Anolis sagrei: one gene and its partners. The protein of the gene in region 1 interacts with the protein of each later gene in a pairwise test. Links are inferred from orthologs where the notes say so. Each region holds a gene or a part of one and is shown in the gene's direction. Other genes may lie near its edges.

Region 1 (7,430 bases):
TCTATCCCTCCATTCATCCATTCTTCCTTCCTCCATCCATCCTTCCTGCTATCCATCGATCCTTCATCTTTCCTTCCTTCCTTCATCTATCCATCTATCCATTGATCCACCCATTCTTCCTTCCTTCCCTCATCCATCCATTCATCTATCTATCTATCTATCTATCTATCTATCTATCTATCTACCTACCCATATTTTCATCTATCCCTCCATCCATCCATCCTTCATCTTTCCTTTCTTCTTTCATCCATCCATCCATATTTCATCTTTCCTTCCTTCCTACATCCATCCATTCATCTATCTTTCATCCATCCATCTGTCCATCCATTTTTCCTTCCTTTCTTCTCTCCATTCATCCACCTATCTATCTATCCATTCATCTACCCCTTCTTCCATCCCTCTATCCTTCCTTCACCCATCTGTCTACCTTTCCATCCATCCTCCCCTTCTTCCTTCCTTCCCTCCTCCGTCTCTTCTGGGGATGCTTCCTTTTTGTCACTCTTCCTCTCTTTCTCTTTCCTTCTTTCCTTCTTTCTTTCCTTCCAGGCTTGCGCTGCTTTGCCAAATTCCACCGCAACCGGCGAGTGACGCGTCGCAGGGGCCGCTGCCTGGAACCGGGCTCGGCCGACCCCGACCGGGGCTCCTTCATGGCCACCTAGGCCTCGTCCGCCCCTCCGTCCGTCCGCACAGAGGAACCAAACCACTTCAGTTCTGCTTCAGTTCTGCAGTGCGGACCCCTCGTCCCCGTCCCCCCTTTTAGGCCTGTTTCCTATTTGTAAATAAATAAAGAGATAGCTATCCTTCGCACACACCGGCTTGTCTTCCTTCTTGGCTTTCGGATCCTAAAAAAGAATTAAGTTTCTAGTCCTCATGGTTCGACATGAATATTATACTATTTATTTTTACTATATTTATTATTATTATTATCTAAATGGGAATATTATACTATTTATTATTATTATTTAATATTATTTAGAATTTAAAGGGCAGTGTTATACTATTTAGTATTATTATTTAATAGCATTTGGAATGTAAATGGAAATATTAATATTATTTATTATTATTATTAAATACTATTTAATACTATTTAGAATTTAATGGAGATATACTGTTTATTGTTAATAAATATTATTTAGAATTTAAATGGGAATTGTATACTGTAATATATTATTATTATTATTATTATTATTATTGAAATTGGAATATTATATTTATTATTATTATTAAATATTATTTAGAATTTAAATGGGAATAGTATAGTATTTATTACTATTAATTAATATCATTTAATATTTTAATGTTATTATTATTATTATTGAAATTGGAATATTGTATTATTATTAAATATTATTTAGAATTTAAATGGGAAAAGTATATTTATTATTATTATTATTTAATATTATTTAGAATTAAAAATGGGAATGGTGTACTGTTTATTATTATTATATATTATTATTATTATTTAAATATTATTTTTATTATTAAATATTATTTAGAATTTAAATGAAAATAGTATAGTATTTCTTACTATTAATTAATATCATTTAATATTTTAATATCATTATTATTATTATTTAAATGGGAATATTGTATTATTATTATTAAATATTATTTAGAATTTAAATGGGAATAGTATAGTATATATTACTATTAATATTTAATACTTAATGTCATTATTATTATTATTATTATTATTGAAATTGGAATATTCTACTATTATTATTAAGTATTATTTAGAATTTAAATGGGAATAGTATAGTATTTATTACTATTAATATTATTTAATATTTTAATGTCATTATTATTATTATTGAAATTGGAATATTATACTATTATTAAATATTATTTAGAATATAAAGGGGAATAGTATACTGTTTATTATTATTATTATTATAAATTATTATTATTGAAATTGGAATATTATATTTATTATTGTAAAGAACCTCCGCCACTGGTAATGAAGCTGCCACCCAATTGTAGAGAGACGCTACCGACTAGTGAGGAAGCGCCTAGATTTAGGAGAGAGGAGCCACTGATTTGTAAAAGGCTCTGGTATTAAAGCTCTGTTTGTGTTGTGAGGTAATTTTGGTAGAGTGGGTGCACCGAACGTAGAATTAATGGAGATGAGGCAGTTTTAAAAACCAAAGAGAACAAGTTTATTTTTAAACAAAGCGTATGGTTGCAGTATGAAGATGTTAAGCTTGGCAAATACTTGATGGTTACATGTAACTTGGTTGCGATACAATTCAGACTTTCGATGTTACAACTTATGAACTCTTGCTGTGGTGAAGCGCTTTATTAACCAGTGTTCCCTGCAATGAATGGTCTTTCTGTTTGATCTATACTTGATCAAATCACAGATCTCCAGTCTTTCTCCGACTAGCGATCCTAGCAAGCCTCTGTTAGTTCTTTCTAACTAAAGCAACTAACAAGGTTTTCCCCTTCAGCTTCCTTGTTGTTCATTCGTTCAGTCGTCTCCGACTCTTCGTGACCTCATGGACCAGCCTACGCCAGAGCTCCCTGTCGGCCGTCACCACCCCCAGCTCCCTCAAGGTCAGTCCAGTCACTTCAAGGATGCCATCCATCCATCTTGCCCTTGGTCGGCCCCTCTTCCTTTTGCCTTCCACTTTCCCCAGCATCATTGTCTTTTCTAGGCTTTCCTGTCTCCTCATGATGTGGCCAAAGTACATCAACTTTGCCTCTAGTCTCTTTCCCTCCAGTGAGCAGTCGGGCTTTATTTCCTGGAGGATGGACTGGTTGGATCTTCTCGCAGTCCAAGGCACTCTCAGCACTTTCCTCCAGCACCACAGCTCAAAAGCATCGATCTTCCTTCGCTCAGCCTTCCCTAAGGTCCAGCTGAAGAAATCTCTACTATTCACGAACACTAAAACCTGGCTCTTCACTTCTTCACTCCTCAGAGTCTAAAACTGACTCTGCTGCTCTCTCAGAGTCTTTCTCCCCTGACTGACTCTAACTGTCACTTTTTAAAACCTTTACTCTCTAAGCTCCTCCCACCTCCTCTTCTGCCTCGTTTCCATGGTAACACATTTCTCACAGCTAGGCCGCTCCAGCCTTAGGGCAACCAATGCAAACATAAATACAGTTATACGCATATTATTATAAACACTTCTGTACAATTATTATTAAATATTATTTAGAATTTAAATGGGAATAGTATACTGTTTATTATTATTATAAATTATTATTATTGAAATGGAAATATTATCCTGTTATTATTAAGTATTATTATTATTGAAATTGGAATATTATATTATATTATTATTATTATTATTATTTAGAATTTAAATGGGAATAGTATACTGTTTATTATTATATATTATTATTATTATTGAAATTGGAATATTATATTTATTTATTATTAAATATTATTTAGAATTTAAATGGGAATAGTATAGTATTTATTACTATTAATTAATATCATTTAATATTTTGATGTCATTATTATTATTATTATTGAAATTGGAATACTATATTATTATTTAACATTATTTAGAATTAAATGGGAATAGTATTCTGTTTATTATTATTATTGTAAATAATAATAATTAAAATGGGAATATTATTAAATATTTTAATGTCATTATTATTATTATTATTGAAATTGGAATATTATATTATTAAATATTATTTAGAATTTAAATGGGAACAGTATAGTATTTGTTACTATTAATTAATATCATTTAATATTTTAATGTCATCCTCATTATTATTATTAAATATTATTTAGAATTTAAATGGGAATAGTATACTGTTTATTATTATTATTATTGAAATTGGAATATTATATTTATTTATTATTAAATATTATTTAGAATTTAAATGGGACTAGTATAGTATTTGTTACTATTAATATTTAATACTTTAATGTCATTGTTATTATTATTATTGAAATGGAAATATTATATTTATTATTATTATTAAATATTATTTAGAATTTAAATGGGAGTAGTTTAGTATTTATTACGATTAATTAATATCATTTAATATTTTAATGTCATTATTATTATTATTATTATTGAAATGGGAATATTATACTATTTTATACTATATTATAATATTAAATATAATACTATTATTATTATTTAATATTATTTAGCATTATTATTATTATTATTATTATTATTATTGAAATGGGAATATTATACTATTTTTTTTATTATTATTATTATTATTATTATTTAATATTATTTAGCATGTCAGTGATGCCCTCCTTTCCTGAGGCTGAGAGAGTGTCACTCTGTCTGCACTCAAACCCAGAACCAGGGGGGGGGGCTTTAATTCGCATTAAGGTTCCCCTCCTGTCTACACTTGCAGAGTGAGTCCTCTTCCCTTGGAGGGAAGGAAGGAAGGAGTGGAGGGAGGAGTTTCTCTGCTGTGGCTTTTTTTGCTCAATTTCTGGGGAAGGAGTCATGAGGCTGGCTGTGGGGAGGAGCCCCAGGCAGAGAGAAGCAGAAGCGGAAAAGCAAAGCAAAGCAGAACCCGGGTCTGACCAGAAAGGAAAGGAAAGAAAGAGAAAGAAAGAGAAAGAAAGTCAAGAAGGAAGCCCAGGACCATGGAGGTCCCCTCTGTCAACCTCAAGGTGAGCGTGCAACAACGAGTGTGCAAAGGGGGGTCTTCTACAAGTGTCAACAGAAGAGTGAAAGGGAAGTGTGCAAAGGGGTTGCATAGAAGGGAAGGGTCAGTGGGAGAGAGTAGGGAGTGTGCACTGTGATTGTGCAAGGGGGTTGTCTACAAGGGAGGGGTCAATGGAAGTTTTAGGAGAGTGTGCACTATGGTTGTGCAAGGGGGTGTCTACAAGGGAAGGGTCAATGGAAGTTTTAGGAGAGTGTGCACTATGATTGTGCATGGAAAGGGAAGGGTCAGTGGAAGAGAGTAGGGAGTGTGCACTGTGATTGTGCAAGGGGGTTGTCTACAAGGGAGGGGTCAATGGAAGTTTTAGGAGAGTGTGCACTATGATTGTGCACAGGAAGAAAAGGGTCAATGGAAGAGAGTAGGGGAGTGTGCACTGTGATTGTGCATGGGGCTTGTCTACAAGGGAAGGGTCAATGGAAGAGTAAGGGGAGTGTGCACTGTGATTGTGCAAGGGGCTTGTCTACAAGGGAAGGGTCAATGGAAGAGTTTTAGGAGAGTGTGCACTATGATTGTGCACAGGAAGAAAAGGGTCAATGGAAGAGAGTAGGGAGTGTGCACTATGATTGTGCAAGGGGGTGTCTACAAGGGAAGAGTCAATGGAAGTTTTAGAAGAATGAGCACTATGATTGTGCACAGGAAGAAAAGGGTCAATGGAAGACAGTAGGGAGTGTGCACTGTGATTGTGCAAGGGGTTGTCTACAAGGGAGGGGTCAATGGAAGAGTTTTAGGAGAGTGTGCACTATGATTGTGCACAGGAAGAAAAGGGTCAATGGAAGACAGTAGGGAGTGTGCACTGTGATTGTGCAAGGGGGTTGTCTACAAGGGAGGGGTCAATGGAAGTTTTAGGAGAGTGTGCACTATGATTGTGCACAGGAAGAAAAGGGTCAATGGAAGAGAGTAGGGGAGTGTGCACTGTGATTGTGCATGGGGCTTGTCTACAAGGGAGGGGTCAATGGAAGAGTAAGGGGAGTGTGCACTGTGATTGTGCAAGGGGCTTGTCTACAAGGGAAGGGTCAATGGAAGAGTTTTAGGAGAGTGTGCACTATGATTGTGCACAGGAAGAAAAGGGTCAATGGAAGAGAGTAAGGGGAGTGTGCACTATGATTGTGCAAGGGGCTTGTCTACATGGGAAGGGTCAATGGAAGAGAGTAAGGGGAGTGTGCACTATGATTTGTGCACGAGGCTTGTCTACAAGGGAAGGGTCAATGGAAGAGTGTGCACTATGATTGTGCAAAGGGATTATCTACAAGAGAAGAGTTGACGGAAGTGTAAGGTGAGTGTGCACCAGGATTGTGCAAAGGGATTGCATATAAGGGAAGGCTCACAGAAGTGTGTAAATAAATATAACAACAACAACAACAACAACAATTGTGTAAAAGACCAATGAAGCACCAAGTATTTAAAAACGAGTGTGCAGGGGGGGCAGTTAATAATTGTGAGTTTTACCTAGTGCGAGGCACCAGGATGGAGGGGAAAAACCTTGGCTGTCCCATAGGGTTTTAGAGAAGTTACTTTCGCTCTCTCCATTATAAGGGGCACAGCTTGCATGTCCTTGTAAATCAATGTTACGAGGTAGGAAAAGTTTTCAAAAGTAATAACAACAATAACTATTATTATTATTATTATATTAATGGGGTCACCGTACGCCATGCAAATGCTAGAAAAGCAATTTCGAAATGGAAAAACCGAAAGCTGCCGAATGCTTGGAAATTCCTGCATTTTGCAAAATAGTCCAAAAATGGGGAAGATGCTGGCGCGGCCTTGAAATTCAACCGAAAGCGGCTCCCAAGGCATTCTTGTGATTCTCCTTTCTTTCCTTCCTCGTGTGATGCAACTTGATAAATCCCCGGCCGGCCGGCCGTGCGAATGAGCTGAAGCATCCAGAAGTGACCCAAGGAAAATAGGATGTTGTTTATGGTTTACCTTTGAGTCGCCGTGAGTCATTGCTTTCAATGAATTGCAGCGACCAAGGCAAGCCCGATTTAGTCGTAACATTTGTTTTTGGGGACATTATTGCTAGTATTAATATTATTATATTATTGTTAGATTAGATTAAATTATATTTCTTATATTTATTATTATATTATATTTCTTAGATTATTATTATATTTATTATATTCATTAATATTATATTTATTATATTATATTATACTTATTATATTATTATAATATAGTATATTATATTATTATTATATAGTATAATATAATTATATTATATTATTATATTATATTACTATATATTATATTTATTATATTTATCATCATTCTATTATTATATTTATTATCATATTAGATCAATCTATTTATTCATTAATATTGATTATATTATATTATACTTATTATATTATATTATATTATTATATAGTATAATATAATTATATTATATTATTATATTATATTACTGTATATTATATTTATTATATTTATCATCATTCTATTTATTATTATATTTATTATCATATTAGATCAATCTATGTATTATATTCATTAATATTGATTATATTATACTTATATTATTATATTATATTATATTATATTATTATATAGTATAATATAATTATATTATTATATTATATTACTGTATATTATATTTATCATCATTCTATTTATTATTATATTTATTATCATATTAGATCAATCTATTTATTATATTCATTAATATTATTTTGATTATATTATGTAATATTTATTGTATTGTACATTATAATTATTACTGTATATTATATTTATTATATACATCATCATTCTATTTATTATTGTATTTATTATCATATTAG
Region 2 (6,954 bases), on another chromosome or scaffold:
TAATACACATATATTATATGTAGACACAATATATTATTATCACAGCACAGTATTAGTATTATATATTATATTGTACTAAGCAATTATCAGTAGGAAATTAATATAATACTATTAGTATATTACAATATTATTATAAAATATTATATGGTTTTAATGTTATATATTATTATATTGTACTATACTACTATACTGCAATATTATTCAAAATATTGCATATATACTAAAATTGTGCTATGCTAATAATATAATACATTGTGTATACATAGAAGATTAATTATAATATTGTAATTATTAAAATATAATAATAATGTATATAATATCTAATAATATAATAATATAATACTAATATCTTGAATATACTACTACTGATAATAAATAACTGTATTATATGTATACACAACATATTGCTATAATAGCACAGTATTAATATTATATATTATATTCTACTATACCAGTATACTGCAATATTATTCATAATATTACATGTAATATTTCATGTATACTAGCATTGCGCTATGCTAATAATATAATATATTGTGTATACATAGAATATTAATTATAATATTATAATATAATAATACTATTATGTTAAATAGAATACTACTGATAATATATAACAATATATAATGATAATACTATTCATAAAATATAATTATAATATTATGTTGTAGTATAGTATTATTGGTTGGTAGGAACCGTCCTGAGTCCTTTTTGGGAAATAGAACGGTATTTAAATAATAATAACTATAATTATACGCTGTCAATAAAGAGCCCCCGGTGGCACAGTGGGTTAAAGCGCTGAGCTGCTGAAAGGTCAGCAATTTGGACCCAGAGAGCGGAGGGTGACCTCCCACTGTTAGTCCCAGCTTCTGCCAAACTTACAGTTCGAAAACATACAAATGTGAGTAGATGAATAGGTACCGCTTTTCTGGGAAGCTAACAGCGCACCATGCAGTCACGCTGGCCCCATGACCTTGGAGGTGTCTACGGACAATGCCGGCTCTTCAGCTTAAGAATGGAGATGAGCACCACCCGCCAGAGTCGGACAGGACTAGATGTAAGGTCAGGGGAACCTTTACCTTTTTAATTATATAATATATTGCGCTATATCATAAGTTGTAGTAAATATACTATATTATAACATCTTTATTATATTGTAATATATTATATTATAACATGCATATTAATATTGTGTTATATTATTTTAGTATTATTACATTACAATGTAAATATATTATATATATACACAATGTAATGTATAACACTAATATTGTCTATAATAACAATATATCGTGTAGACATAATATTGATAATACAATATAACACTAGTCATAATACAATATGATAAGACAAAAGAATAATATTGCAATATAGTAGTACTAATATATATAATGATAATACTGTTTTATTATTGTATATTTGTATAGTTTAAGAGATAGGACAGTATATAAAACATTATTATTATTATATGGTACCAGTAGATTAAGTAGCCCTCGGTGGCACAGCAGGTTAAACCGCTGATCTGCTGAAGTTGCTGACCAATAAGTTGGTGGGTCAAATCCAGCCTAGCAGTTCGAAAACATAGAAGTGTGAGTAGATCAATAGGTACCGCTTCTGTAGTATATAATTCTAATATTGTGCTATGCCAATAGTAAGGTAAAGGTATTCGCTTGACATTAAGTCAAATCGCACCCGACTCTGGGGTGTGGTGCTCATCTCCATTTCTAAGCTGAAGAGCCGGCGTTGTCCGTAGACACCTCCTAGGTCATGTGGCTGGCATGACTGCGTGGAGCGCCATTAACTTCCCGCCGAAGCAGTACCTATTGATCTTCTCACATTTGCATGTTTTCGAACTGCTAGGTTGGCAGAAGCTGGGGCTGACAGCGGAAGCTCATGCCGCTCCCCGGATTTGAACCTGCGACCTTTTGGTCAACGAGTTCAGCAGCTCAGCGTTTTAACCCACTGCACCACCGGGGGCATATAATAATGTAATGTTATTATATTATTATACATTATGTAATGCAATTATATTACTATATATTATATAATGTAATTATATTATTATGTAATTATATATATTGTGTACTGTAATTATATTATTATATATTATATTTATGTAATTATATTACTAGCATAGCAATATTAATATATTATCTTAATGTAATTACAGTGTTAGCATATATTAATATATTATTTTAATGTAATTATATTGTTAGTATAAGAATAATATATTTATTTATTTACTTTATTTATATACCGCTTTTCTCAGCCCTCAGGCGACTCAAAGCAGTGAATATATAATATATATAATATATTATTACCATAGTAATATTATATTAATATATTATATTAATGTAATTATATTATTACCATAGTAATATTATATTAATATATTATATTAATGTAATTATATTATTACCATAGTAATACTATATGAATATATTATATTAATGTAATTATATTATTACTATATGAATATATTATATAAACGGTTCCGGCCCAAAATACCTTGAGTACCGCATCTTGGCCTACGAGCCCACGAGGACCTTGAGATCATCCGGGGAGGCCCTTCTCTCGGTCCCGCCTGCCTCACAGGCACGCTTGGCGGGGACGAGAGAGCGGGCCTTCTCGGTGGTGGCCCCCCGGCTGTGGAACTCCCTCCCCGCTGAAATTAGACAGGCGCCTTCCCTCATGGCCTTCCGTAAGGGCTTGAAGACCTGGCTCTTCGAAAAGGCCTTCAATTAAGTGCTATGTTTTGGAATGACCACCGGAATGGACTATGACCACGAGATTGATTATGACCCTAACAAGACGAAGCGGATTTTTAGTTTAATTAGTTGTGTGTTAGTTGATGTGCGTCATGATCTTGATTTACTGTAACTGTTGTCTTTATGTTCTATGTTCTGTACACCGCCACGAGTCGCCTTCGGGCTGAGAGTGGCGGTTAACAAATGCAAATAATAAATAAATAAATAAATAAATAATAAATATTATTACCATAGTAATATATTATATTAATGTAATTATATTGTTACTATATAAATATATTATATTAATGTAATTATATTGTTACTATATGAATATATTATATTAATGTAATTATATCGTTACTATATGAATATATTATATTAATGTAATTATATTATTACTATATGAATATATTATATTAATGTAATTATATTGTTACTATATAAATATATTATATTAATGTAATTATATTGTTACTATATGAATATATTATATTAATGTAGTTATATCGTTACTATATGAATATATTATATTAATGTAATTATATTGTTACTATATGAATATATTATATTAATGTAATTATATTATTACTATATTAATATATTATATTAATGTAATTGTATTGTTACTATATTAATATATTATATTAATGTAATTATATTGTTACCATAGTAATAATTTATTATATTAATGTAATTATATTATTACTATATTAATATATTATATTAATCCAATTATATTGTTAGCATAGTAATATATTAATATATTATATTAATATATTATTACCCTAGTAATATATTATATTAATCTAATTATATTGTTAGCATAGTAATAATATATTAATATATTTAATGTAATATTGTTAAGCATAGTAATAATATTACATTGTTATTAAATGAGTAAATTGATAAAACTTATTATTTGGAGGGGGAAAAAAAACCTGGCTATAGAATGCAGTTCAATGCAATGCAGTTTATGCCCAAACTGGATTCTCTAGCAGTGTAGATCCAGCTGGATGGGAAGGAGTGCATGAGAGAGGGGGCGTGGCTTTGAGCCGAGGCGAAGGCGGTGCTTGAAAGCCCGGAGCATTCCAAAGGGGCGTGGCTTGGAGCTTGGGGGCGTGGCTTGGGGCGGCCTCTCAGAGCGAGGGGGCGTGGCTTGGGAGGGCCGAGAAGCCCGGGGAAAGGGGCGTGGCTTGGAGGCCGAGAAGCCCGGGGAAAGGGGCGTGGCTTCGACCAGCTCGCTTGCTTTTCTCTCTCTCTCTGGGCTCGCCTCCTTTGACACGTCTGCAGGGTGAGTGAGTGGCATTGGCAGCCTGTCAATCCCTCACCAAAGCGGCCATCAAACAACATAAAACACACACCACAGTCACTGGGGCTGCTGCTGCTGGGCTCATAAATTGCAGCTGGATGGGGTTTCTCCCCCCTCTTTGGCCCTCCTCCCCCTTTTGCAAAGCCGGTGTGCCATTAATTGCAATTTTTCCCGTCTTTGCAAAAGAGAGACTTTGCTTCTTTTTTTGCCCCCTTCCTTAAAAAAAAAGAATTTTATTTTTTCCAATTTTTTTTTGCACAACTTGCAAACTTTGCTGGCGATTTTCCCTCTCCTCCTCCTCTTTTTTCTTTTTTGCAAGCAAACCAGACGCTGGGAAATTTTGTGATGTGGCTTTTTTTGCATTTTTCCCCCTTCTTGCCGTTCGGAGCAACGATGTGATTTTTTTTCTCTCCAAATAATTGGATTGCAAAGCGGTTTGACTATTTTATTATTTTTTTGCAAATCTATTTTCTGGGAAAATAACACCATTTCTTCCCTCGATGAAGGAAAAAAACAAATCCAAGAGGAAGAGAGAGCGAGAAAGAACCACCGGCAACTAACTGTTGTCAACTTTGGAGCCTTTGCCTTCCCGAAATATCTACATTTTTGTGGTGCTGAAGGAGAATTGCAAGAGGGCGAAGGATGAAGAAAGAAGCTTGAGGGAGAAGAGGAAGAAGAAGAACACAAAGCCAATCGTTGGAAAGAGCTCTGCTGGGAGCTGCTGGGACTCAGCATCTTCCTCCTCCTCCTCCTCTTTCTCTTCCTCCAGATTGCTGGGACTGACTCAAGGAAAGCCGCCCAAGGATGAGCAAAGGAGCCCAGCGTTGAGAGAAGAGCTCCCAGGAAAGAAAGAAGGAAGGAAGAGAAACCCAGGAGAGGAAGCCCTGCTTTTGCCTGCTTCGATTTGCCTGGAAAGGAGCAGCCAGGACTGAGCTCGGACTTGCATCTGCCTCCTCTCCTTCTCCTCTTTCCTCTTCTTTTTATTCTTCCTTCACCTCTTCTTCCTCCTCTTCCCTCTTCATCTTCTTCCCATCTTTCCTCCTTCTCTTTTCCACCCTTTTCTCCTTCCTCTTCTCTTTAGTCTTCTCCACTTCTTCCTCCTTTCCGCCTCCTCCTTCCCTTCCTTCTCCTCTTCTTTTTAATCTTCCTCCTCTTCATTTTTCCTTTCTCTTCTTCTTTCCTCTTCTTCCTCTTCCTCCTCTTTTTCTTCCTCCTCTTTTCCATCTCCTTTTTCTTTTCCTCCTCTTCTTTTTATTCCTCCTCCTCTTCTTCCTTCTTTCCTTCCTCCACTTCATCTTCTTCTTCCTCTTCCTTCCCTTCTTCCCCTTCTTCCTCATCTTTTTATTCTTCCTCCTCTTCTTCCTTCTCTCTTTCCTCCTCCTCTTCATCTGCTTTCTCTTTTCCTTTTCTCCTCTCTTCTTTCCCTTTCTTCTTCAACCCCTTTTTATACTTCCTCCTCTTCCTCCTCTTCATCTTCTTCCTCCTCCACTTCCTCCTTCCCCTTTTCTTCCTCTTCTTTCTTCTTTCCCTTCCTTTTTCTCCCTCTTCTTTTTATTCTTCCTTCTCTCCTTCCTCCTCTCCTTCCTCCTTTCCTTCTTCTTTCCCTTCTTACCTCTTCCTCTTCTTTTGATTCTTCCTCCTCCTCCTCTCCTTCCTCTTTTCCTTCTTCTTTCCCTTCTTACCTCTTCCTCTTCTTTTGATTCTTCCTCCTCCTCCTCTCCTTCCTCTTTTTTTCTTCCTCTTCTTCCTCCTCTTGATCTTCAATACTCTCACTCCTCTTCCTCCTTCTCTTGCTTCTCATCCTCCTCCTCCTTCCTCCTCTTCATCTCCTTCTTCCTCCTCCTTCCCTTCTTCCTGATCTTCTTCCTCCTCTTTCTTCTCTTTCCTCTTCTTTTTCCTTTTCATTCACCTCTTCAGCTTCTTCTTCTTCCTCCTCCTCCTCCTCCTCCTCCTCCTCCCCATCTTCTTCTTCCCCTTCCTTCCTCCTCCTTCCTGCTCTCTTCCTGGGCCATGGACGAGCAGACGAGGATGCTGCAGACCTTGGCGGGGGTGAACCTGGCGGGGCACCCGGTTCCCGGGGGAGGGATGCCCTTGCCCCCCCCTCACGGGCACGAGGTCCCCGACGGTGGCGACGGGCGCAAGCAGGACATCGGCGACATCCTCCACCAGATCATGACCATCACCGACCAGAGCCTGGACGAGGCGCAAGCAAAGTTGGTCCCCCCCACTTCTCCAGCAGACAAACCCCCCCTTCCCTCCCCAAAAACCCAAAAGTAATACCCTTGTGTTTTAAATGTGCCTGATGCGCTTCGGTCCCCTTCTGTCTCTGTCTGTGTGCATGAGTGTGTGTATGTGTGTATATGGACCCACAAAATATGGACCCACCTGTGCGGGTTCCTTTGAGGTCAAGATTCCCATCTTATGATTAGTGTGAGTGTAGGTATGTGTGGATAAGGTGTCCTCTCCAGAATGCATGCTCAGAAGGATGGGTAGTCTGTGATGCTCAGAAGGATGGATATTCAGGTCGATGCTGTTGGTTTCATCCATTCCTCCCTTACTGTTTTGCAAGGTCCAAAATGGCCCATCGATGCACTGCTCCTTTTTCTCAGAGCCAAAAGTTGCCCACCTTTATGAGATGCAAGCAAAGTTGCTCTCCTTCAGGAAAGGAATCTGCTTCACAATACATCTCCCCATCCACTCCATCCTTGCATGTGTTTGTGTTGACACAAACATTGAGAGGGACATCTCATCCATATCTGTGGACATGAGATGTCCCTCTCCAAAAATGCATCCTTCCTTCAGCAAGGAGAAGTCCCCATAATCATGCATAAGATGGGATGTTTACCTAGCCGATCCCATTTTCCATTGCCATTTCGATATGGTCCAAAATTGTCA
Region 3 (7,296 bases), on another chromosome or scaffold:
CAAATGGGAAGAATTCAACACTATCTCTTTTCTAGTTTCCCCATTATTTTTTGCAGATGGAAAGGATAACCTTGAGCCTCTTCGCTTTGCTTGCTCTTCAAGCCCTCCACTTGTTTTTCCACTTTCATAGGGGTTCTGTGACACCTTTCCAGTATTCAGTGGCAAGGATCCATCAACTCCCTTGTTCATCTGTAAAATACAATTGGGCTTCAGTGGCCACAGTGTCCTGTACTCATGGATTCAACTTTCTATGGCTTGATTTTTTTTATCCAAAAAGCATACCTTGATTTGGTGTTTTATATAAGTACACCATTGCACTAAGTCATTTTATATAATGGTATTCAAATATCCATGGATTTTGGAATCTATGGGGTGGGGTCCTAAAACCAAATCCCAGGAGATACCAAGGGCCCACTGTAGCTATATCTTTTATTTCATCTGCCATCTACTTTTAAAAATGAACATGAGGTTTCTGCACTGACAGAAATACTGCTGAAAGCTGTGACCTTTCCTCACAACATGGGCAGGGAGGGTGAGATTAACATAAGGAATCTCTTCCCCATACTAACATGAATGGACTTCAACTTGCATGATTTTCTATCATTGGTTGTCTGGTTAGGGCAGGTGGGCATTGTAGAATGGTGTTTTGGTAGGGGGCATACATTCCATACAAAAGCAAACTACATGTATAATTTGCTTTTAATTACAATTCTGTTTTGTGTTTTATGTTATTTCATTTACACCTGTATGTTATAATTTTAAATTACTTGGTGCTGCTACTGATTTGGGTTATTTTTTGTGTATTTTATGTATTCTGTCTTGCACTGTGTTGCCTTGTAAGCCGCTCCGAGTCCTTTTGGGGAGATGGGCCAAGATACAAATAAAGTTGTTGCTGTTGTTGTTATTTTACTGACACAAAACACAGTATAACGCAGCAAATGAGATATATATGCTGGATTTCATATCATAAAATCACAAGTCTAACACTTCCCAAGCATTTAGGACTGTGTGATGTATTTTCAAATGATGTGTGCAGATCCAAGTAAGGTTGCATTTTGCAGTTGCCAGATCATGATTTTGTCAATGTTTATTGTTTTCAAATGCTGGCTGAGATTTTTTGGCACAACACTAACATTGTCCAAATCTTTAGCACTGATATCAGCATGAAGTTTGGTTTGGACAAATGTTCAGTGGCACTGAAGAAGGGAAAAGTGTGTTTTAACAGTTTCTCCTACCCATATCCAACAAAATAGGTCCTTATTAGGAATTTCCTACAGTTTACAGGAAATTCCATGGTATATTTCTGCAGGAAGTTCCTATAGAGTCTCTGAATGGTCTACACCACGATGGTAGCTTCTGACAGAAGTAATCTATTTCAATAGAGTTCATTATTATTATTTTTAATTATTTTTATTGTAATATAAGCTTTATTATACATTATTTAGTTACATGATCATATGATCACCTTCCATCTTGTTGGCCAGTTTTATTTAGAGGCAATTTGCCATTTTCAAATGTTACACCATTAAGCTGTATTTCTGGCCTGGTGAGCACTTTGGTTTTCTTGATGTTCAATGACAGGCCGAGTTTGTATGCTTCTGCAAAGGTGTTTAGAGTGGCTTGTAGGTCTTCTCCTGAATGTGCACAAACTACATAATCATCAGCATATTGGAGTTCTATAACATGTTTTTGTGACCTTGGTTTTGGCTGTCAGTCTGCTGAAGTTAAATACTTTGCCATCTGTCCGATAGATGATTTCCACTCTGGTGGGAAACTTCCCATCAATAAGATGAAGTATCATAGCAATGAAAAATGGAAAATAAGCTTGGGGCAATAGCACATCCCTGTTTGACATCTGATTCCACCTTAAATTGGTCACTTGTCAAACTACAACTCCCATGATTCCATAGCATTGAGCCAGGACAATGTCAAAGTATTAATTCTACAATGTGGATGCACACTTTTAAAAAAATGTATAGTTTTTGAGTTTTGGCATTCATAATATAGTATTTGATTTAACTGAGATTTGTAACTTTATTGTAATGGGCAACATTTTAAAATAGATATTTGACTGTTCTTTAGAACAGACATGGAATGATATGTTGAAAGACTCAGTTACTGGGTGGATCTACACCAGGGGTCCTCAAATTAAGGCCTGGGGGCTGGATATGGCCCTCCAAGGTCATTTTCCCAGCCCTCGCTGAGGGTCACCCTAAATCTGAAATGATGTCCAAAGAAGGAGCCTCCTCCACCCTCCTCTCTGCCCCAGAGTGTGGTGGAGGTTCCTTCTTTGGAGGCTTTTAAACAGAGGCTGGATGACCATCTATCGGGGGTGCTTTGAACGAAATTTTCCTACTTCTTGCCAGAAAGGGGTTGGACTGGATGGCCCACGGGGTCTCTTCTAACTCTAGGATTCTAGGATTCTATTACTTGAAAGCACACAACAACAACAACAACCCTATTTTATCAGCCCAAAGCAGGCCCATACTTCCCAATGAAAGACTTGTGTGTGTGTGTGTGTGTGTGTGACGGACGACATTTATATGCTGCCTTTCTCACCCCAAAGGAGACTCAGAGCGGCTTGCAATGTATATTACATACAATATATTATTAGCATAGTACAATATCAGCATTAAACATTGCTATATTGCACCATACCACTATATCGTAATATCATTAGTTGTCGCGACCCACAGAACACAGATTGTCTTAAACAGCAATTGAGATGCAAATCTCCTCTGCTTCTGCATCACTCCTTCTTCTTCTCCTACTACTAGTAGTAGGTATGGTGCCAGAATGCTGAGTCTCAACATTAGTAATATTACAAGTAATGTAAATATATAAATATATTATTATTATTATCATATTGCAGTACATTATATAAATTTATTTATTTATTTATTTATTTACTGCACTTGTAGACCGCCGTTCTCAGCCCTAGGGCGACTCACGGCGGTGTACAACATATAAAAACAATTTACAATAAAGGCAATATCACAAACAACAATAACATCACTATCAATGATACAATTGCACTAAATCATTCGCGACGTCTCATCATAGAATCACAATCCAATCTCGTTATCCATATTCCGTTCCAATCATCATTGCCAATTGTTGTAGCACTTAGTCAAACGCCTTCTTAAACAACCACGTCTTTAGTCTCTTGCGGAATGTCATAAGGGAGGGCGCCTGTCTGATGTCTACAGGGAGGGTGTTCCACAGCCACCACCGAGAAGGCCCTATCCCTCGTCCCCGCCAGGCGTGCCTGTGAGGCAGGCGGGATCGAGAGAAGGGCCTCCCCGGACGATCTCAAAGTCCTCGTGGGCTCATAGGCCGAGATGCGGTCAGACAGGTATTTTGGCTGTCAGTCTGCTGAGGTTAAATAGTTTGCCATCTGTCCAATAGATGATTTCCACTCTGGTGGGAAGCTTCCCATCAATAAGATGAAGTATTATCTATTATATAAGATATAATACTATATATTATATAATATATATGTGTGTGTATGATATATATATTATATAATATATAGTATTATATCTTATATAATATAAATAAAGTTTATATTTGTTAAGATTGTTCTTCATTTTAATGATTGTATTGTTTTAAATGTTTTTTGCACTACAAATGAGATATGTCCAGTGTGCATTGGAATTCATTCATGCTTTTTTCAAATTATAATCTGGCCCTCCAACAGTTTGTGGGACTGTGATCTGACCCTCTGTTTAAGCATTTTGAGGACCCCTGACCTACACTGTCGAATTAACGCAGTTCGACACGACTTTAACAGCCATGGCTCAATGCTATGGAATCATGGGAGTTGTAGTTCTACAAGGTCGTTAGCCTTCTCTGCCAGGATGCTGGTGCCTCACCAAACTACAACTCCTATGATTCCCCAGCATCGAGCCATGCCATTAATTCTACAGCATTAATTCTAAGATATAGACGCACCCACTGATGAATGCATAAGTTGTGATTTAACTGAGTTATAGTCAAAACCACGCCGCCAAACAAGCTCAGTTGACAAATCTCCAAAATGTCAAGGACAGACACTGGAAACGCTGACCTCACTGAAAGTAGGCGCTTTCTATTGGCGCAATCAGGCTCTGAAGCAAGGTCAGGCCTCCCCAACAGCCAATCAGCATCCAGGCAAAGGGGGAAAAAGTTACACGACGTTAGGAAGTACAGCCGTCTTAGCCAATAGAGGCAGAGGATGCGAACATTCTGCGCGCCTTAGCCAATCGCTTTCTAGAATTCTGGAAGCCTCCTTTTCGCTAGCCAACCGCCAAGGAAGAAACTCCTTCTCCAGCCAATGAGCTGCTAAGATAGTTGAGCTTTCGGTTCCGTAGGATTCCTGTGCGAGGAACGCTTCGGGGGCGTGAAAGGTGAGAAGGGGATGTTGATTAGTCCGAGGGTATGTCCACACTGTTGAATTAATGCAGTTTGGTACAACTTTACCTGCTCTGGTTCAGTGTTAGGGAAACATGGGAGTTGTGTTTCCTCCCCCCTCCCTTTTCTACAAGGTCTTTTGGCTTCTCTGCCACAAAGTGCTTGTGTCTCACCAAACTACACATCCCAGGATCCCCTAGCTTTGAGCCAATGTAGTTAAAGTGGTGTCAGACTACATTAACTGGACCTCGGGTACATCTACATTTGGCAGGAGGAGGGCCTGTAGGAAGGGCATGCGCAAGTACTGCAGTAAATTCATCACTCAGCCAAGCAGTTCTTATCGAACCCCAAATAGATTTCTCTCTGCCCCCCAATATTTTGTGACAACTATGAAGCGTTAAATCATAAAGATCTGCTTATCTGTGTTGTTGTGCTGCAAGATTGAGAACTGATCAGAATTGGGGGAATCTGGAGTTTGATATTTTAAAAAATGGGAAATGTTGTTGTTGTTGTTCATTCGTTCAGTCGTCTCCGACTCTTCGTGACCTCATGGACCAGCCCACGCCAGAGCTCCCTGTCGGCCGTCACCACCCCCAGCTCCCTCAAGGTCAGTCCAGTCACTTCAAGGATGCCATCCATCCATCTTGCCCTTGGTCGGCCCCTCTTCCTTTTGCCTTCCACTTTCCCCAGCATAATTGTCTTCTCTAGGCTTTCCTGTCTCCTCATGATGTGGCCAAAGTACTTCAACTTTGTCTCTAGTATCTTTCCCTCCAGTGAGCAGTCGGGCTTTACTTCCTGGAGGATGGACTGGTTGGATCTTCTCGCAGTCCAAGGCACTCTCAGCACTTTCCTCCAACACCACAGCTCAAAAGCATCGATCTTCCTTCGCTCAGCCTTCCCTAAGGTCCAGCTCTCACATCCATAGGTTACTACAGGGAATACCATGGCTTTGACTAGACGGATCTTTGTTGCCAGTCTGATGTCTCTACTCTTCACTATTTTATCGAGACTGGACATTGCTCTCCTCCCAAGAAGTAAGCGTCTTCTGATTTCCTGGCCACAGTCTGCATCTGCAGTAATCTTTGCACCTAGAAATACAAAGTCTTATGTTACTTATGGAAAAACTGACATCTGTTGAACAAAATGATGTTGTTGTTAATATAAATATTTTAATATTATGGGTATTACCCTACCTTTCCCCTCCAGAATTGAAACTAAAGGTTCATCTACACCAGGAATGGGCAAACTTGAGCCAATGTAGTTAACGTGGTGTCAGACTACATTAATTGGACCGTGGGTGCATCTACATTTGGCAGGAGGAGGGCCTGTAGGAAGTGTATGGATTGATACCGATCAGGATCGGAGAGTAGGAGGGAATCTGGAGATTGATATATTTAAAAATGGGAAATGTTACTAATGGAAAAAACTGACATCTGTTGAACAAAATGATGATGTTGTTAAATATTTTTAATATAATGGTTACTCTGCTTTTCCTCCCATAATTTATTTATCGTATCAGGAGCAAACCAAGGGTACAGTTGTAATGTATTTAAAAACACAAAGTTTAAAAACTTGGCATTATACTAAATGTCCTTTGACCAGTAGCTGGCCACTTGCAGTCTCTCTCTGGTGTTGCTATAAGAAGGTCCTCCATTGTACATGTGGCAGGGCTCATGTGTATGTCGTGGACTCCACTTTGTGGCCCCATTTCCTAAGGTTGGCTCTGCATCTCGTGATGAGAAAGCACTGTCTGTTCAGCGCCTTCCAAGTTGCCCAGTTTTCTGTGTGTCCAGGAGGGAGTTTCTCTCATTTGGTATCAGCCATGGATTGACGTTCTGGGTTTGAGCCTGCCACTTTTGGACTCTCGCTTGCTGAGGTGTTCCTGTGAGTATCTCTGTAGATCTTAGAAAACTATTTCTTGATTTAAGGCATTGGCCTGCTGGCTGATATCTGAACAGGGGATGGGCCGAGATGTCACTGCCTTGGTCCTTTCATTATTGGCTACTGCTTCCCGGCGGATGTCAGGTGATGCAATACTGGCTAAACAGTGTAATTTTTCCAGTGGTGTAGGGCGCAGACAGCCTGTGATAACCACATCCACTGTTTTAACGTGGTGAGATGTGTTCCACACTGAGCATGCATACTCAGCAGCAGAGTAGCAAAGCGCAAGTGCAGATGTCTTCACTGTATCTGGTTGTGATCCCCAGGTTGTACCAATCAGCTTTCATATGATATTATTTCTAGCACCTGCTTTTTGCTTGATATTCAGACAGTGCTTCTTGTAAGTCAGAGTACAGTCCAGGGTAGCTTCCAGGTATTTGGGTGTGCTGCAATGCTCCAGTGGGATACCTTCCCAGGTGACCCTCAGAGCTCGATATGCTTGTCAGTTCTTAAGGTGAAAAGCATATGTTTGCATTTTAGATAGATTAGGGATCAGCTGGTTTTCCCTGTAATAGGCAGTAAGGGCACCTAAAGATTTGGAAAGCTTCTGTTCAACCACCTCAGAGCTCCCTGCTTGAGCGGTGATGGCGCGATCATCAGCATAGATGAAACTCTCTGTCCCTTCTGGCAGTGGCTGGTCATTTGTGTAAATGTTGAACATTGACGGAGCAAGCACACTTCCCCGTGGCAGGCCATTCTTCTGTTTTCGCCATCTGCTTCTCTGGCTCTAGAATTCTCATAATAGTATTATAATAACTTTATTTTTGCCACCCGTCACCATCTCCCTGAAAGGACTCAGGGCGGCTTCCATGAGGTCTAAGCCCAGTCAAACAGAGTTTAAAAACACAAAATAAAATACATAGACAGACATTATAACACATAATTTAAAACATAATTCATCATACAACAACCATTAGCCGAGCATAATGGATGTTCCCAAGTTGAGAAGCGAGAGAAGGCTTC
Region 4 (7,213 bases), on another chromosome or scaffold:
ACTTTTTTTCAAGCATTCCAGCTTGTTCACATAGTATTCCATTTTTTTTTATTTAAAAAAATCCTTTCCCTCTTCTTTTTTTCCTTTTTCTCCCTTTCTTTTCTTGACAACCATACATAATCCCTTTTCTAAACATCAACATAGTGTACACATCTCAAGAGTTCCACCATAACACATATACCATGGAAAAGAAAGTCACACCAACAGAGCAACAAAGGATTCTTCATCATGTCTTTCTTCAGAAGGAAGTACAACTATTTGATGAAAATTAGGATTTTGTATTAGTCATGTGTCCTCTGCAAATTTGATGATCATGCCTTCTAACCCTTCCACACAGCTGAATAAAATCCCACATTTTCTGCTTTGAACTGGAATATATGGCAGTGTGGACTCAGATATCCCAGATCAAATAAGATATTGTGGGATTTTCTGCCTTGATATTCTGGGTTATATGGCTGTGTGAAAGGACCCTAACAGGCTTTGGCCTACTACTCTTTCAGTGGTGGGTTCACACTTTTGTAATCATATGTAATCATTTGTAAATCATCTATCAGACAAATGGCAAGTTGTTTAACCTCAGCAGACTGAAAGCCAAAACCAAGGTTACAACAACATCTGTTATAGAACTCCAGTATGCTGATGAAGATGTGGTCTATGCGCATTCAGAAGAAGACCTACAAGTCACTCTAAATATCTTCGCAGAAGCATACGAGAAGCTCGGCCAGTCATTGAACATTGAGAAAACTAAAGTGCTCTTTCAGCAGTCACCAGCCAACCCCTCTCCAACGTCAGAGATACAGCTTAATGGTGTAACATTAGAAAATGTTGGGTTGTTGTAGGTTTTTTCGGGCTATATGGCCATGTTCTAGAGGAATTTTCTCCTGACGTTTCGCCTGCATCAGGAGACGTCAGGAGAAAATGCCTCTAGAACAGTAGTTCTCAACCTGGGGTCCCCAGATGTTTTTGGCCTACAACTCCCAGAATTCCCAGCCAGTTTACCAGCTGTTAGGATTTCTGGGAGTTGAAGGACAAAAACATCTGGGGACTCCAGGTTGAGAACTACTTGCTCTAGAACATGGCCATATAGCCCGAAAAAACCTACAACAACCCAGTGATTCTGGCCATGAAAGCCTTCAACAATACATTAGAAAATGTTGACCATTTCCGCTACCTTGGCTGCCACCTCTCCACAAAAGTCAACATCGACACCGAAATACAACACCGCCTGAGCTCTGCGAGTGCAGCATTTTTCCGAATGAAGCAGAGAGTGTTTGAGGACCGGGACATTTATTTATTTATGTACTTTATTTGTATACCGCTGTTCTCAGCCCTTAGGCGACTCACAGCGGTTAACAACAAGAACAGCAAAAATTCAATGCTACAATAACACGGTATAAAAAACAGTTAACATCATAACACATTATACAATAATATACAATTATTAGCGCTGACATCCGTAGGGATACCAAGGTGTTTGTCTATAAAGCTATTCCCCTCCCAACCCTGCTATATGCCTGCAAAACGTGAACTGTCTACAGTCGTCACATGCAACTCCTGGAATGATTCCATCAGCGCCGACTCCGGAAAATCCTGCAAATCTCTTGGGAAGACAGGCTGGGAAATGTCAGTGTGCTGGAAGAAGCAAAGACCACCAGCATTGAAGCGATGGTCCTCTGACATCAACTCCGCTGGACCGGTCATGTTTTACAGCTTCCCAGTTGTCTGATATTTGTTATTAGCCGCCCCCCTATTTTAGATTCATACATGCACTTTAAACTGTAAGTTTAGTCTGTTTTATCTTTTTAATTTGTCTCTTTTATAACATGTTTTTAATCTGCTTTTATACCTGACCTACTTGGGAACTGCGATTCCCTTCCTTGGGCACCGGTGCCCCATTCTATACTGTGCTGGTCAAAGACCGTAATAAATCATTGATTGATTGACCTCAACTCCGCTGGACAGGCCATGTTGTCCGGATGCCTAACCACCGTCTCCCAAAGCAGTTGCTCTACTCCAAACTCAATAACGGAAAACGGAAAGTTGGAGGACAGGAAAAGAGATTGAAAGATGGGCTCAAAGCCAACCTTAAAAACTCTGGCATAGACACTGAGAATTGGGAAGCCCTGGCCCTTGAGAGCTCCAGCTGGAGGTCAGCTGTGACCAGCAGTGCTGTACAATTTGAAGAGGCACAAATGGAGGGCGAAAGAGAGAAATGTGCCAAGAGGAAGGCGCGTCAAGCCAACCCCGACCGAGACCGCCTTCCACCTGGAAACCGATGCCCTCACTGCGGAAGAAGATTCAGGTCAACAGTCACCTACGGACCCACAAGAATACTGATCATGGGATCGCCTAAGTAAGTAAGTAGTACGAGAGCAGTACGTGTGAAAAAGATCTTGGAGTCCTCGTGGACAACAAGTTAAACATGAGCCAACAATGTGATGTGGAGGCAAAAAAAGCCAATGGGATTTTGGCCTGCATCAAGAGGAGCCTAGTGTCTAGATCCAGGGAAGTCATGCTCCCCATGCTCTATTCCGCTTTGGTTAGACCACACCTGGAATATTGTGTCCAATTCTGGGCACCACAATTCAAGAGAGATATTGACAAGCTGGAATACTGTGTCCAGAGGAGGGCGACTAAAATGATCAAGGGTCTGGAGAACAAACCCTATGAGGAGTGGCTTAAGGAGCTGGGCATGTTTAGCCTGAAGAAGAGAAGGCTGAGAGGAGATATGATAGCCATGTATAAATATGTGAAAGGAAGCCACAGGGAGGAGGGAGCACGCTTCCTTTCTGCTTCCCTGGAGACTAGGACGCAATGGAACAATGGCTTCAAACTATAAGAGAGGAGATTCTATCTGAACATGAGGAAGAACTTCCTGACTGTGAGAGCCGTTCAGCAGTGGAACTCACTGCCCCAGAGTGTGGTGGAGGCTCCTTCTTTGGAAGCTTTTAAACAGGGGCTGGATGGCCATCTGTCAGGGGTGCTTTGAATGCAATATTCCTGCTTCTTGGCAGAAGGGGGGTGGACTGGATAATGGCCCAGGAGGTCTCTTCCAACTCTTAGATTCTAAGTAAGTAATCATTTGGAGGGACGGATCTAGAATACCTCTAATAGGAGGAGTGGGCCTGGTTGACACACCTCCACAACCAGATTAGGGCCCTTGATAGCAGACACCTCTGTCTTGTCTGGATTCAGTCTCAATGTTTTTTCAGTCTCAATCTGCAGCAGGCTTGGGCCAACTTGGGCCCTCCCCCTCTGATTAAACACACTCTGATTAAACATATAAATGTGGCCAAAACTCCCCGGCTCGGCTAGCTTCTTGCATTTTTCAGTTAACACACTCTGATTAAACATGTAACTGTGGCCAAAACTCCCAGGCTCAGCTAGCTTCTTCCAACTTGAGCCCTCCAGGTGTTTTGGACTCCAACTCCCAGCATTCCTAACAGCCTCAGGCCCTTTCCTTTTCCCCCTCAGGCGCTTAAGCCGCCTAAGCGGCTGAGGGAGAAAAGGAAGGGGCCTGAGGCTGTTAGGAATGCTGGGAGTTGGAGTCCAAAACACCTGGAGGGCTCAAGTTGGCCCAGGCCTATTTCACACTATCCAAAGGCCTTTTCCAAAGCCTTCCTTGCCTAGGAAAGGCCTCAAAAAGCAGGAGCCTCTTTTGAGGCCTAGTCGAGGCCTCCTCGCCCGCCCCCGGGCCCTTACCGGACTCCCCCGGCCGCTACATCCCACTCCATCCGCTTCCTCCGCCGCTTCTGCCGCCACCGGAAGTCTCCCTCAGACGAAAAAAAGGAGAGGGAGGAGCCGCAGCGAAGGCCGCTTCCGGTTTGGAAGCGTCACGTGACCCACGGAGGGTGGCACTTCCCTGTCTTCAAAGGATTACTCCTCTCAGAACTTCATTTCCCAGAAGCCTCAGCCAAGGCGGTCAATGGGAAGCTTTCTGGGAGATGGAGTCCACAAGGCCTGAAGAGGCTCAGGATTTTTTTTTGGACTTCATTTCCCAGAAGCCTCAGCCGCTTTAGTCAATGGGAAGGGCTTCTGGGAGATGGAGTCCTTAAGGAAGGAAGTGACGCCAGGAGTCCACAAAGCCTGAAGAGGCTCCCTCTCAGGATTTCTTGGACTTCATTTCCCAGAAGGCTCCGCCGCTTTGGTCAATGAAAACGGTTTATGGGAGATGTAGTCCAGAATTGCCTGAAGTCTATTTTATGGAAGGAAGTGACGCCATCGGTCAGCGACGCCGCCTCGTTTCTGCCTCCCGGCTTCCTGGCGTGGTTTCTTCGAGGTCAGGTGAGGGGCTGGAGGGCAGTGGGAGCGACTGGGCCGGACTGGGAACTACTGGGAAAAGCAGATAGCCTCAAGTGGTGGTTTGGGCCACTGAGCTAGGCCTCAGTGGGGATTGTGGCACCACTTTCAACTGCTTTGGCTCAATGCTGTGGAATCATGGGAGGTGTCGTTGGACGAGGCCTAGAATCCAAAGGGTATCAAACTGCGTTAATTCCACAGTGTAGACAAGGCCTGGGCCAACTTGGGCCCTCCAGGTGTTTTGGACTTCAATTCCCACCATTCCTAGATTTATTTATTTATCGTGTCATCCGCAACCAGACCATTGTATTACATTTCTAACACAACAAAACAAACAAACAGATTAAAAAAGCACAAATTTTGCAAACTTGGTAGTTGATTAAATGTCTTTTGACCAGTATCTGGCTCCTTGGAGTGCCTCTGGTGTTGCCGCAAGAAGGTCCTCCATTGTGCATGTGACGGGGCTCAGGGTGCATTGCAGCAGTTGGTCTCTGGTTTGCTCTTCTCCGCACTCGCATGTCGTGGATTCCACTTTTGGCCCCATTTCTTAAGGTTGGCTCTGCATCTCGTGGCGCCAGAGCGCAGTCTGTTCAGCGCCTTCCAAGTCGCCCAGTTTTCTGTGTGCTCAGGGGGGAGTCTCTCATTTGGTATCAGCCATTGATTGAGGTTCTGGGTTTGAGCCTGCCACTTTTGGGCTCTCGCTTGCTGAGGTGTTCCAGCGAGTGTCTCTGTAGATCTTAGAAAACTATTTCTAGATTTAAGTCATTGACGTGCTGGCTGATGCCCAAACAGGGGATGAGCTGGAGATGTCTCTGCCTTGGTCCTTTCACTATTGGCTGCAACTTCCCAGCGGATGTCAGGTGGTGCAATACCGGCTAAACAGTGTAATTTCTCCAGTGGTGTGGGGCGCAGACACCCTGTGATAATGCGGCATGTCTTATTAAGAGCCACATCCACTGTTTTAGTGTGGTGAGATGTGTTCCACACTGGGCATGCATACTCAGCAGCAGAGTAGCACAGCGCAAGGGCAGATGTCTTCACTGTGTCTGGTTATGATCCCCAGGTTGTGCCAGTCAGCTTTCGTATGATATTATTTCTAGCGCCCACTTTTTGCTTGATGTTCAGGCAGTGCTTCTTGTAAGTCAGAGAACGGTCCAGAGTGACTCCCAGGGATTTGGGTGCGCTGCAAGGCTCCAGTGGGATTCCTTCCCAGGTAATCATCCTCAGAGCTCGGGATGCTTTTCTGTTCTTGAAATGGGAGGCACATGTCTGTGTTTTAGATGGGTTGGGGATCAGCTGGTTTTCCCTGTAATAGACAGTAAGATATAGGGCTGTATGGAAGGGCCCTTAGACTCCTACATCCCTTTCTCTCTATCTCTGTGCATTTCTTTTTTAGTACCAAAGTGTAGCAATGTATATTTCTCCCTTTTCACTGATTCCGCCAGACATGCCTTTCTGCTTTAAGAGATTACAGTTTCCAGTCAAGATGGCATTTGGGCCAGTCACTCAAATGCTGTGGTATCAACTTACAATCACCATGCAATAATAATAATAATAATAATAATAATAATAATAATAATAATGTTACAATCCCAGGCGACAGCAGGATTGAAGAGAAACAACTGGAAAAGCTGACATGATATGAGGATTTAAACATTGAATCCAAAGACTCTGGCACAAACCAATCAAGGGTGTTCCTGTGGTGATCGGCACACTGGGTGGAGTGCTTAAAGACCTTATTTATTTTATTTATTTGGGGTGCATCTACCCCGCCCTTCTCAACCCCCTAGGGGGGACTCAGGGCAGCTTACAAAAGGCACAATTCGATGCCGACAGTTACAAAATACAATACAATATACAATACACAATTTACCATATACTATCACAGTTATAACTAATTAAAACAATCAACAGTATACTAGCATCAATAAAATATCTAGTGGTCAATGTTCACCAAATCCAAGTCCGTAAACCATTTTGCATTGTCATTGCCTTTCCTACTCTGGTCAGTATTGGTTGTCTTGTCCATCTGCCAGCTTACCCGAAAGCCTGGTCCCACATCCAGGTCTTTAGCATCCTTCTGAAGGAGAGGAGGGATGTTGATGTCCTAATTTCCCCGGGGAGTGCATTCCACAGGCGAGGGGCCACCACCGAGAAGGCCCTGTCCCTCGTCCCCACCAGTCTTGCTTGTGATAAAGGCGGGGCCGAGATCAGGGCCCCCCCAGCAGATCTTAGATTATGAGGTGGGACGTAGAAGGAGATATGTTCAGACAGGTACGCTGGGCTGGAGCCGTAAAGGGTTTTGTAGGTTAAAACCAGCACTTTGAATTGTGCTCGGAACTGGATTGGCAGCCAGTGGAGCTGACATAACCGGGGGATGGTATGCTCCCTGTATGACGCTCCGGTGAGTAGTCTGGCCGCCGCCCGTTGGACTAGTTGAAGTTTCCGAACAGTCTTCAAAGGCAACCCCACGTAGAGCATGTTGCAGTAATCTAGTCGGGATGTAACAAGAGCGTGGACCACCATGGCTAGATCCGACCTTGGCCTGCACTTAAATACAATTGGTGCTTACAAGATTACCATCTGCAAAAGGCCACCCTACTGGGATGTGTACGCATTATTTGCTGATACATCACACAGCCTAGACACTTGGGAACTGTCTGACGTGTGATCCAATACAACAGCCAGCAGAGTGTTTGCTGTAGACTCATCTTGTTGTGTTTCTAATAATAATAATAATAATAATAATAATTTGTTTGTACCCCGCCCTATCTCCTCAGGGTGGCTTCCAACATTATAACAGGCAAACATTCAATGCCTATATAAACAAAAAAAAATCCCAAAAGTTTTAAACGAAAGACAACACTAAATATTGTACAATAAACTAAAATAAACAGTTGCATTAAGTAATTAT

Evidence for each region.
Region 2: the proteins of AGTRAP (region 1) and PBX3 interact in a two-hybrid assay, tested with the Homo sapiens proteins (4 studies listed by BioGRID). The two-hybrid records come from large-scale screens. The link is inferred for Anolis sagrei from reciprocal best matches to the Homo sapiens genes AGTRAP and PBX3.
Region 3: the proteins of AGTRAP (region 1) and TXN2 interact in binary tests that used the Homo sapiens proteins (3 or more experiments, as listed by UniProt). The two-hybrid records come from large-scale screens. The link is inferred for Anolis sagrei from reciprocal best matches to the Homo sapiens genes AGTRAP and TXN2.
Region 4: the proteins of AGTRAP (region 1) and TBRG4 interact in binary tests that used the Homo sapiens proteins (3 or more experiments, as listed by UniProt). The two-hybrid records come from large-scale screens. The link is inferred for Anolis sagrei from reciprocal best matches to the Homo sapiens genes AGTRAP and TBRG4.

Annotation. Positions count from the first base shown.
Region 1 is NC_090033.1:10,225,182-10,232,611, reverse strand, and holds the start of AGTRAP (type-1 angiotensin II receptor-associated protein), read left to right. Parts: upstream 1-4,411; 5' UTR 4,412-4,573; coding exon 4,574-4,600; intron 4,601-7,430. Other genes in the region: draxin, read left to right, coding at 547-659. UniProt on the Homo sapiens protein: Appears to be a negative regulator of type-1 angiotensin II receptor-mediated signaling by regulating receptor internalization as well as mechanism of receptor desensitization such as phosphorylation.
Region 2 is NC_090031.1:6,689,044-6,695,997, forward strand, and holds the start of PBX3 (pre-B-cell leukemia transcription factor 3), read left to right. Parts: upstream 1-3,954; 5' UTR 3,955-6,069; coding exon 6,070-6,332; intron 6,333-6,954. UniProt on the Homo sapiens protein: Transcriptional activator that binds the sequence 5'-ATCAATCAA-3'.
Region 3 is NC_090025.1:166,647,956-166,655,251, forward strand, and holds the start of TXN2 (thioredoxin, mitochondrial), read left to right. Parts: upstream 1-4,275; 5' UTR 4,276-4,388; intron 4,389-7,296.
Region 4 is NC_090026.1:131,503,235-131,510,447, reverse strand, and holds the start of TBRG4 (FAST kinase domain-containing protein 4), read left to right. Parts: upstream 1-4,199; 5' UTR 4,200-4,279; exon of another isoform or gene 4,280-4,284; intron 4,285-7,213. UniProt on the Homo sapiens protein: Plays a role in processing of mitochondrial RNA precursors and in stabilization of a subset of mature mitochondrial RNA species, such as MT-CO1, MT-CO2, MT-CYB, MT-CO3, MT-ND3, MT-ND5 and MT-ATP8/6. May play a role in cell cycle progression.